3 linked regions of the Xenopus tropicalis genome follow. The protein of the gene in region 1 interacts with the protein of each later gene in a biochemical or structural test. Links are inferred from orthologs where the notes say so. Each region holds a gene or a part of one and is shown in the gene's direction. Other genes may lie near its edges.

Region 1 (3,500 bases):
GGGGTTATTTAAATCTATCATAGACCTCCCCAGGCAGCAGTGCTGTAATATATATATATATATATATAATGTCAATGGCACCTCCCAATCCCTTGTGGCTTTGTACCCCATGTGTGCTCTCCGATAAGCCAAAGCCCCATATTCTCACCCCTCTCTGTTTCCCTGCAGCCCCCCCGGCTTCCTGCCCTCGGCTCGGGTCACGTCGGCCTGCGGAATTTAGGGAATACGGTAAGATTTCCCCTTTAACAACAGCAGCTGTCCCAGAGTGCACTTGTGCTGAACGTACCCCCCCCCCCCCCCAACACGCCATGTTTGCTAAATCCTCCTGTCTGTGGGACCCCGCAGTGTTTCATGAACGCCGTGCTGCAGTGTCTGAGCAGTACCAAGCCCTTACGGGACTACATTCTGCGCCAGGAATACCGACAGGAACAGCCAGGAAGCTGCAAGGCACAGCAGGAGCTCACCGAAGGTAGGTGGCAACTATAGTCTTGCTGTGTTAGTTACAGGGAACTGCCTCCCAGCAGGGCCGGTGGCACTAATACAGTAAAGGAATAGGGGGGGGAGGCTGAAAGGGAACATAGGGAAGTGCTACTTTACAGAAAGGGGAGTAGATACAGGGAACAGCCTCCCAGCAGGACCGGTGGGACTGATACAGTAAGGGGCATAGATACAGGGAACAGCCTCCCAGCAGGGCCGGTGGGACTGATACAGTAAAGGAATAGGGGGGGAGGCTGAAAGGGAACATAGGGAAGTGCTACTTTACAGAAAGGGGGGTAGGTACGGGGAACAGCCTCCCAGCAGGGCCGGTGGGACTAATACAGTAAAGGAATAGGGGGGTGGGGGCTGAAAGGGAACATAAGGAAGTGCTACTTTACAGAAAGGGGAGTAGATACAGGGAACAGCCTCCCAGCAGGGCCGGTGGGACTGATACAGTAAGTGGCATAGATACAGGGAACAGCCTCCCAGCAGGGCCGGTGGGACTGATACAGTAAGGGGCATAGATACAGGGAACAGCCTCCCAGCAGGGCCGGTGGGACTGATACAGTAAGGGGCATAGATACAGGGAACAGCCTCCCAGCAGGGCCGGTGGGACTGATACAGTAAGGGGCATAGATACAGGGAACAGCCTCCCAGCAGGGCCGGTGGGACTGATACAGTAAAGGAATAGGGGGGGAGGCTGAAAGGGAACATAGGGAAGTGCTACTTTACAGAAAGGGGGGTAGGTACGGGGAACAGCCTCCCAGCAGGGCAGATGGGACTGATACAGTAAGGGGCATAGATACAGGGAACAGCCTCCCAGCAGGGCCGGTGGGACTGATACAGTAAGGGGCATAGATACAGGGAACTGCCTCCCAGCAGGGCCGGTGGGACTGATACAGTAAGGGGCATAGATACAGGGAACTGCCTCCCAGCAGGGCCGGTGGGACTGATACAGTAAGGGGCATAGATACAGGGAACTGCCTCCCAGCAGGGCCGGTGGGACTGATACAGTAAGGGGCATAGATACAGGGAACAGCCTCCCAGCAGGGCCGGTGGGACTGATACAGTAAGGGGCATAGATACAGGGAACAGCCTCCCAGCAGGGCCGGTGGGACTGATACAGTAAGGGGCATAGATACAGGGAACAGCCTCCCAGCAGGGCCGGTGGGACTAATACAGTAAGGGGCATAGATACAGGGAACTGCCTCCCAGCAGGGCCGGTGGGACTGATACAGTAAGGGGCATAGATACAGGGAACAGCCTCCCAGCAGGGCCGGTGGGACTAATACAGTAAGGGGCATAAATACAGGGAACAGCCTCCCAGCAGGGCCGGTGGGACTAATACAGTAAGGGGCATAGATACAGGGAACAGCCTCCCAGCAGGGCCGGTGGGACTGATACAGTAAGGGGCATAAATACAGGGAACAGCCTCCCAGCAGGGCCGGTGGGACTGATACAGTAAGGGGCATAGATACAGGGAACAGCCTCCCAGCAGGGCCGGTGGGACTGATACAGTAAGGGGCATAGATACAGGGAACAGCCTCCCAGCAGGGCCGGTGGGACTAATACAGTAAGGGGCATAGATACAGGGAACTGCCTCCCAGCAGGGCCGGTGGGACTAATACAGTAAGGGGCATAGATACAGGGAACTGCCTCCCAGCAGGGCTGGTGGGACTGATACAGTAAGGGGCATAGATACAGGGAACTGCCTCCCAGCAGGGCCGGTGGGACTGATACAGTAAGGGGCATAGATACAGGGAACTGCCTCCCAGCAGGGCCGGTGGGACTGATACAGTAAAGGAATAGGGGGGAGGCTGAGAGGGAACAGGGGAGACTATATATGTAGAAGACCCCGCTAGTTATGCCCCCATGTAATCTCCTTATCTCTGTGCTTAACGCCGTGTGATATTCGTTGTCGCTTTCAGCCTTCGCTGATGTCATTGCGTCCCTGTGGAGCCCCGACCCCCCTGACGCTGCAAACCCGGCGCGGTTAAAGGCAGTCTTCCAGAAATATGTGCCATCTTTCACCGGCTACAGGTTGGTCACTGCCCCCCCCCAGAGTCAGAAGGAGAGAGTTCTGCTCCCATAATCCTCCTGTCACTTTCTTCTCCTAATCCCAGTTTTAGCAGGGGGCAGCAGTGCGGGGAGGCGGAGCTTAGCCCCCCCCCCCCCCCCTTACTAAGCCGCTGCTATTTGTGGCTGCACTCACACTTCCCAATCCCATTTACTCCGGGTGTCTGTTTAGGAATTGTTCCGCAAAATCAAATGGGGGGGGGGGGAGGGGGGCTGCGGGATTCCCAAATTGCTTTAGCTCCGCCCAGGATCACATGGTGTCTTGTCCTGCAGCCAACAAGATGCTCAGGAATTCCTCAAATTCTTTATGGATCGGATTCACGTGGAAATCAATCGGAAGGGCAGGAAAACTCCCAGCATTCTGTCTGACGCCAAGCGCCCCGCAGCACTGGAACATCAGGATTCTCTCAGGTATTGGAGCCTGGGGCCCACATAGGGTTCTGGAGCACCCACAGAGATAATCATGTGCAACTTGGCACCCATGTTTGCTTTTGTGGCATTCCTGGCCCCTTATCATACCAGGAACCCCATCCCCTTTAGTAACCATAGGGAGGAGAACAACCCACATGCAGGGCAAACTAGGGATGGACACTACTGACCCCTGAGACTGGGCGGGTTGGTGGGTCAATTATGAAATGTTGATCAGACTTGTGTTCTATAATGTGCTTCTCCTTTCCCTCAGCGATGATGAACGAGCCAATCAGATGTGGAAGCGTTACCTGGAGAGAGAAGACAGCAAAATAGTGGGTAAGTATTCAATGTCTGTGTCCTGCTCCTGGGCTGCTCTCTTTCCCATGGTCAGGCAGGAACCTCCCCCTGGGTAAGTGAATCCAATCTCCCCCCAGTACTTACCCATGTACAGAGCTCTGATTCTCTGTACTTCCTGCTCCTGGGCTGCTCTCTTTCCCATGGTCAGACAGGAACCTCCCCCTGGGTAAGTGAATATA
Region 2 (4,040 bases), on another chromosome or scaffold:
TATCAGGAGTCAGAACCAGCAGTGCAGGGAAGGGAAAGGGACAGACACAGTGACAGTTACACATAACTATAAACCCAGTGAGAATGAGGAATGAATGGATATTGGGGAGTTGTATCAGGAGTCAGAACCAGCAGTGCAGGGAAGGGAAAGGGACAGACACAGTGACAGTTACACATAACTATAAACCCAGTGAGAATGAGGGATGAATGGATATTGGGGAGTTGTATCAGGAGTCAGAACCAGCAGTGCAGGGAAGGGAAAGGGACAGACACAGTGACAGTTACACATAACTATAAACCCAGTGAGAATGAGGAATGAATGGATATTGGGGAGTTGTATCAGGAGTCAGAACCAGCAGTGCAGGGAAGGGAAAGGGACAGACACAGTGACAGTTACACATAACTATAAACCCAGTGAGAATGAGGGATGAATGGGTATTGGGGAGTTGTATCAGGAGTCAGAACCAGCAGTGCAGGGAAGGGAAAGGGACAGACACAGTGACAGTTACACATAACTATAAACCCAGTGAGAATGAGGAATGAATGGGTATTGGGGAGTTGTATCAGGAGTCAGAACCAGCAGTGCAGGGAAGGGAAAGGGACAGACACAGTGACAGTTACACATAACTATAAACCCAGTGAGAATGAGGAATGAATGGGTATTGGGGAGTTGTATCAGGAGTCAGAACCAGCAGTGCAGGGAAGGGACCGATGCACCGGAGCCATTGGGCAGCCATATTGCTGTGTGTATGGGATATAATAGCGGGCAGCACATAGTGACTGGCAGAGAGGGAGCGGGCAGGATACTCACCGAGCAGAAAGGCTTCCGGTTCCTGGGCGGGGCGGGGCTATGCCGGTAAGTGCGCACAGATACTCAGTAAAGGCCCAGATAAAACTCTTTCAAACCAGAAAGCGCTCCCAGACCCGACTATACGTCATACAGGCGCGACAGGCCAGCGTCTAACACGTCACACACCAACGCGCAGGCGCCTTGCGCGTCAAGCTCTTGTCACTCGGATACCTAACGGATCTCCGCTCTCCACCAATCAAAGCGAGGCAGCTGACCGCCTGCAGCCAATCAGCGCTCGGAGCGGGTTAAAGGGATTTAAAAGCGGGCGATTTGAATCGGAGTGGGCTGTGACGGTTGGAGGAAGTGAGGCGAGTGTTCTGCCTGACGGGAAGCGGAGCTGTCGGTTTTGCGTCTGCCGCTAACCAGTGTCTGTCCGTGGCTTCAGCTGCTGCAATCCGGTCTGTGTGAGAGCTGCTAGAGTCCCGGCCCGCACATTCGGCTGCCAGGTGTGTGTGTGTGACTGGGCCAATGGGGAGCTTTGTTTCATATGGTTCGGGAGTGTTGTGTGAACTGAGTTATATATTCTGGGCTGTAACAGCTGCACCCTCTGTGCTTCAGCCATTGGTTATCTTTATGGGCCAATGAAACTGCATCTCCCAGTGGCACTGGCTCATGTGGGGCCCATACAGGCCTTAGTACTGCCCCCCCCCATATGTGTTTGTGTGGGGCCCATACAGGCCTTAGTATTGCCCCCCCCCCCCCCCCCATGTGTTTGTGTGGGGCCCATACAGGCCTTAGTATTTAGTGTTAATCCATGACTGAGTTTTGGGAGTTGGTAATGTGTGGGATTTTGGATTTGGGCTCCCAGTCTGGAGATGATTGCCCCCCCCCCCCCCAGCAGGAAAAAGGGTGATCCTTATCGTTCCAGGGGTACCCAGGGCACAAATAAGCACTCACCCCAAATCCCCCCCTAACTGGCCTTCAGGCTGGGCCCCCTTAGCCCATAACAAGGTTACAGATATATAGAAACATTGGGGTAACAGTCACCCTGCTATAGTTCCAGGGGTACCCAGGGCACAAATAAGCACTCACCCCAAATCCCCCCCCTAACTGGCCTTCAGGCTGGGCCCCCTTAGCCCATAACAAGGTTACAGATATATAGAAACATTGGGGTAACAGTCACCCTGCTATAGTTCCAGGGGTACCCAGGGCACAAATAAGCACTCACCCCAAATCCCCCCCTAACTGGCCTTCAGGCTGGGCCCCCTTAGCCCATAACAAGGTTACAGATATATAGAAACATTGGGGTAACAGTCACCCTGCTATAGTTCCAGGGGTACCCAGGGCACAAATAAGCACTCACCCCAAATCCCCCCCCCTAACTGGCCTTCAGGCTGGGCCCCCTTAGCCCATAACAAGGTTACAGATATATAGAAACATTGGGGTAACAGTCACCCCGCTATAGTTCCAGGGGTACCCAGGGCACAAATAAGCACTCACCCCAAATCCCCCCTAACTGGCCTTCAGGCTGGGCCCCCTTAGCCCATAACAAGGTTACAGATATATAGAAACATTGGGGTAACAGTCACCCCGCTATAGTTCCAGGGTACCCAGGGCACAAATAAGCACTCACCCCAAATCCCCCCTAACTGGCCTTCAGGCTGGGCCCCCTTAGCCCATAACAAGGTTACAGATATATAGAAACATTGGGGTAACAGTCACCCTGCTATAGTTCCAGGGGTACCCAGGGCACAAATAAGCACTCACCCCAAATCCCCCCCCTAACTGGCCTTCAGGCTGGGCCCCCTTAGCCCATAACAAGGTTACAGATATATAGAAACATTGGGGTAACAGTCACCCCGCTATAGTTCCAGGGGTACCCAGGGCACAAATAAGCACTCACCCCAAATCCCCCCCTAACTGGCCTTCAGGCTGGGCCCCCTTAGCCCATAACAAGGTTACAGATATATAGAAACATTGGGGTAACAGTCACCCCGCTATAGTTCCAGGGGTACCATGGGCCTAATAAGATTACTCACTCACCCCAAATCTCTCTAAGCATAAGAACTTGCAATGTTTGCTCGGTTTCTATTGACGGTTTATATAACTGAATATGTTGGTGACAGGCACATATAATGGAACGGGCTGTTAAAGAGAATCTTCCTTCTAATGTCAAGGTAAGTCTTTATCTGCCCAAGTTACTAAGCACTTGGGGAGCCACTATTTCTTTTTGTATTTAAGTTCCCCTGCGCCTCAGTAGGTGATTATCTTTATCGCTGTGAGATGTAAACTGTTGAGATGTGTAGTTCAGTAACTCGATCACACTGGAAGGCAGAAGGAGGGAATACTTGCCCTTGCGCCGGTAACACGACGTTCCTCTGCCTGCGCCACAAAATGCTCAGTTTAATGTCTGTAAAAGTCTTTTGGGTTTCTCTCTTTAATGTTATGCATTCTCCCTGGTAATAAAGAACTGTCAGACTACTGACCATAGTCTGTGCTAAGAAATTCCCAGCATCCTTAGCTGCCCAGGGAAGTTGTTTCCCAGAGATCTTTACATCCATGGTTTGGCATTTGATTATTCTTACTAAGGTTTCTCTTTTTCTTTACTGTAGGTTTTCCACCCCACAATGGAGGGTCCCAAACGTATCCCAGTTACCCAGCCTCCGAGCACCCAGGTTAGACCTCCTGGGACTGCCGTCTCTGCCCAGAGGATATTGGGTCCCTCCAATGTGCCACAGCGAGTCGTGTCTCAGGCTCAGAAACCTGTTATGTCCGCTCAGAAACCTGTTATGTCCACTCAGAAGCCAATGACTCAGGGGCCACTGAGGCCAGTAACTCATGGGCATCAGGCTGGCAAACCACAGGGACCAAATGAGAATCGTACTCCACAGCAGACCAGCCATTCCTCCAGTAAGTGCCCTGGGACTTGAGAGCTTACTGCAATAGCCTCTGGCCGGTGGCTGTGTTCTTCGGGCCGCGTTGCCTCTGGCCGGTGGCTGTGTGCTTCGGGCCGCGTTGCCTCTGGCCGGTGGCTGTGTGCTTTGGGCCGCGTTGCCTCTGGCCGGTGGCTGTGTGCTTTGGGCCGCGTTGCCTCTGGCCGGTGGCTGTGTGCTTTGGGCCGCGTTGCCTCTGGCCGGTGGCTGTGTGCTTTGGGCCGCGTTGCCTCTGGCCGGTGGCTGTGTGCTTTGGGCCGCGTTGCCTCTGGCCGGTGGCTGTGTGCTTTGGGCCGCGTTGCCTCTGGCCGGTGGCTG
Region 3 (4,057 bases), on another chromosome or scaffold:
TAGATAGTTAGAACTCACTTATAACTGACTGCCTTTTCTCTATATTTGTATTTTATATGTAGGAGTTGTAGCACATTTGCATCTGATCCCGCCATTTCAACTATATAAAAGGAGTATTTTTAGAAAAAAATGGGGTGTGTTAATTGGGGCGTGGCCACAAAAGTGGGCGTGGTCAAAAAAATCTTTTTGTCCCTCTTTTCGGTTTTCAAATGTTGGGAGGTATGCTTAAAGTACGTGCCTATTTTTATATCTCTGGCTTGGAGGTAAATTTGGAAGCACAGAGACTTGAGGCTACCAAATTGTCAATCACAGTCCTTATTTGGCATCCCCAAATAGCTTTTTTTATGTTTGTGTGGCTCACCAACAATTTTTACATCTGAGTTTGTAGATCCCTGGTCTAGCGAGATAAGACATCTGAATTTACTGTCTGACAGGGTTTCCCCAGGCCGGTGTTTTACTGGTCTGGCTGGTAAAATTGATGCCTGACATCAATGTTATTAATAGGAAAGAAAGATAAAACTATAGGAAGGCCAATATTTTTTTCCAAAAAAGATGGCAAACCGACCATCAGACAAAGAGTCAAAGATCTGTAGGATGTTTAAACTGCACTTTTTTAACTGGAGGCTGTGTTAAGAAAGACAACATTCAAAACTGGGGAGCTACTAAACAAAATGCTACATAATAAAAAAAAAAAAAAAAGAAATAAAAAACGAAGACCAATTTGCAAACTGTGTCAGAATATCAATCTTGTCATCACACTAGGGGCCACATTTACTTATCCACGAACGCTCTGCCTTGTTTGTTCGATCGGTCCAATCGTATTTTCCATGACTTTTTCGTATTCTTAGCGTGAAAAACACAGATCGGTTTTGCCGCTGTTTACAATCGTTCGGTACGAAAATTTTATGACTTTCGGATCACCAATACGATATTATCGTGACTAATACGATTTTTTCGTAAGCATTTTCATGATATTTGCGATCTTCGTTTCCAATCCGAATTTTTCCCATTCGGGATACGAAACTCTTGTTTTGATAAACCTGCCCCTAAAAGTTTATTCCAAAGTGAATAACCGCTTTTACAAATGCAATACTATTAGGTGGTAAGACTCAGTAAAATCACTGCCTGAATTCAGCTGTGCCATCTTCTGTATCACAGCTCGCACTTCCTACAGCCATGCAGCAATTAGATCCTCAACTAACCCAGGATGCGCTTTTAGGAGAAAATCCCGCGAGAGTGCGTTGCCACTGGTAAGAGAACTTCAAATCGCCGGAAATGACTCAGTGCCTTTCCTGTATTATCGCCGACAATAGTTACTCTATTTCCAGTGCTTTCATATATCTGTGCATTATGTTGCGGCTTAGATGTAAAACCCGAGAGGGTACCCAGCTCCTACAAGGTCTCACAGACCGCTCCAGTATCCGGGAGTTGCAGGAGCGCATAGCAGGTCTTACAGGTATTTCAGGGCCCCAGCAGCGCGTTATGGTGGGCTTTCCCCCTGCTTCCCTGGACTTGAGCGACGGAGAGGCGACACTAAAAAATCTGCCCATCAAATCTGGTGAGGGCGTTTAATAGTCGGTGTGGTTGTGGTGGAAGAATTTTGTTTTTTCAGATAGGAGGGGAGTAAGCAAACTGTCGCATAGTGGGTAATAGACATTTGTAGGTTATAAGATTCGTCAGGCATATGATTAAGTTTGCGCTAATTTGTACAAGTTCAGTTGTCTGTTTCATGGGCTTTGATAATATTGGTGTGTACTTCAGCATTTTTTTTCTACTAATATGTACTGATTGTGAAAATATAGTATGAAAAATTAAAAAACTTGTGCTCATAATAAACATACCTTATCTTTAAATAGATTGGTTTTTGTTTTCTTTCTGTCCCTTACAGGGGACACACTTATTGTGGAAGAAGATAAAAGTAAGCTGAAATCAGAAATTCCGCCAGTTTCCAAAACTGACCTTGGTAATTGGAATGCACCAGCACAGCCAACAATTGTCCGGAGGGTAGTTCCAGCAGATAATTCATGTCTGTTCACAAGCATTTATTATGTGGTAGAAGGGGGTGTTTATGACCCGGCATGTGCCCCAGAAATGCGCAACCTCATTGCGGAGATTGTGGCCAGTGACCCATCTACTTACTGTGAGGCTGTTCTTGGGAAAAGTAATGAGGAATATTGCACATGGATTAGAAGAGAAGACACATGGGGAGGTGCTATTGAAGTTTCCATTCTATCCAAATTCTACCAGTGTGAGATTTGTGTGGTAGACACTCAGACTGTACGGATAGATAGATTTGGGGAAGATTCTGGTTACACTAAACGAGTTTTACTCATTTATGATGGTATCCACTATGATCCATTACAACGTCTGTTTGCAGATCTTGACATGCCTCCAATGACTGTCTTTTCGACAACAGATGATGAGGCTCTTGTCCAGGCTATGGAGCTTGCAGATGATGCTAGGAAGAAGAGGCAGTTTACAGACGTAAACCAATTTGCATTGCGTTGTATGGTGTGTCAGAAAGGGTTGACTGGGCAATCAGCTGCAAGGGATCATGCTAAGGAGACAGGGCACACAAATTTTGGTGAGGTGTGACATCAGACAGCTTTATGACTGCTTTATGAGTCAATGTCAACTACCTCACACAAACTAAAACCTAGGTCCATGTAAAGCAAAACCTGGTTTTACTGTTTATATTAACAACCCCCCCCAATACAAAAAAGGAACACAAGATTGTAGCTGCAAACAAACAGCATTGCTTTGATGATCTGAAATTTTCATTGGCAGATAGTATGGCAGTAAACTAGTTTATGGTAGAGGTGTTTGATTCTCTAGCTAAGTATTTGTTCCAATAAGAAGAAAATACCCCCTCACTTAGTATCGCTTAGTAATATATGCATGATTCTAAAGTATTTATTCCAATTCAACATAGGTCAAATTATATTTAAAATTTCTGCTTTAGTTTAAGTTTACCTTAAGTTTTTGAGTACTTTTGTGCAATTGGATATGCTAATGATTCAAAGTTTACAAAATGACAAGTACTGTAAATAAATACAACCAACTTGCATTAGAATATCATTTGAACTTCTTAAAAACATAAATATATATTTACACCCTAGCACACACAACGTATATAGCCACTTTCCTCAGAGAAAGTAGTCTGCATGTGGTTACTATAAACTGGAAGGTCACTGTGCTGCTTGCACTATATGCTTAATTGTGATGCCATCACAATCTCAGAGAATGCTGCCTATGTTCATTATGAAGCTAATTTTAAACATGTAAGTTACAGAAGCTGGTATTTATTAAATTTATCTAACGTGCTGTATTTTATTTAAGGTTGTGTTCCCTAATGATGGTAGGTTTCTAGGGATCTGCTGGTGCTGTTACGTTTTACAGAAATTGGTACTGACATTTTTTTGTTTAAGCTGTTTTACTTAGTGAAGCCATAATGGCACATGTGGACTTCAGCTGCCTCTCTCTGCTTGCCACTTCTTTCCATTTGTGCAGTAGAAGTGATAAGTGGACCTCTTCTATGGAACAGGAGAGTTAGCATTTTTAGATCAAAAGTCCACTTGGCAAATGCTGCATGTCCTTTATTTACCATGTTCCCCATAACTTGCTTTGAAAAGTGTAGACAGGAGTAGTGGGTTATTTTGATTGCATTTTCTAGGTTGCTCCTTACTGAATAGTTTGTCTAGATTGGGGCAAAGGAACCACATTATTTGTGTCTTGGAAGGCACATGGCATCTCCCAGAGTTTTACAGCTTTATCTGAACTCTGCAGTATTGTGGTTTTCTGTTGCTTATGCTGCCCAGTGTGTCGCCCTGGTATGAACAAGGCTGACCCTATGTTCCCCCACTGACAAGTAAATATTGCTCATCTTTACCAGTGAGTGTTTTGGAAATACTCCGTGTCATTAGCAGGTAATTAGAAATCATAGGAGCTGATACAATATAAAACAAACTCCTGGGCCCAACCATGCAGTTTTATCTTTCTAGGCAAGTAATTCAATCATTAAGATAATAAATTCTAGGTATTAAAAAATGCACGTTTA

What was found.
Region 2: the proteins of usp21 (region 1) and aurka form a complex in vitro, tested with the Homo sapiens proteins (2 studies listed by BioGRID, with this or other methods). The link is inferred for Xenopus tropicalis from reciprocal best matches to the Homo sapiens genes USP21 and AURKA.
Region 3: the proteins of usp21 (region 1) and yod1 form a complex in vitro, tested with the Homo sapiens proteins (2 studies listed by BioGRID, with this or other methods). The link is inferred for Xenopus tropicalis from reciprocal best matches to the Homo sapiens genes USP21 and YOD1.

What each region holds. Positions count from the first base shown.
Region 1 is NC_030684.2:142,754,264-142,757,763, reverse strand, and holds part of usp21 (ubiquitin carboxyl-terminal hydrolase 21), read left to right. Parts: intron 1-168; coding exon 169-228; intron 229-345; coding exon 346-469; intron 470-2,405; coding exon 2,406-2,517; intron 2,518-2,826; coding exon 2,827-2,964; intron 2,965-3,235; coding exon 3,236-3,300; intron 3,301-3,500. UniProt on the Homo sapiens protein: Deubiquitinates histone H2A, a specific tag for epigenetic transcriptional repression, thereby acting as a coactivator.
Region 2 is NC_030686.2:6,088,050-6,092,089, forward strand, and holds the start of aurka (aurora kinase A), read left to right. Parts: upstream 1-1,240; 5' UTR 1,241-1,295; intron 1,296-2,915; 5' UTR 2,916-2,924; coding exon 2,925-2,966; intron 2,967-3,401; coding exon 3,402-3,699; intron 3,700-4,040. UniProt on the Homo sapiens protein: Mitotic serine/threonine kinase that contributes to the regulation of cell cycle progression.
Region 3 is NC_030678.2:62,950,483-62,954,539, forward strand, and holds the start of yod1 (ubiquitin thioesterase OTU1), read left to right. Parts: upstream 1-1,257; 5' UTR 1,258-1,275; coding exon 1,276-1,558; intron 1,559-1,888; coding exon 1,889-2,595; 3' UTR 2,596-4,057. UniProt on the Homo sapiens protein: Hydrolase that can remove conjugated ubiquitin from proteins and participates in endoplasmic reticulum-associated degradation (ERAD) for misfolded lumenal proteins.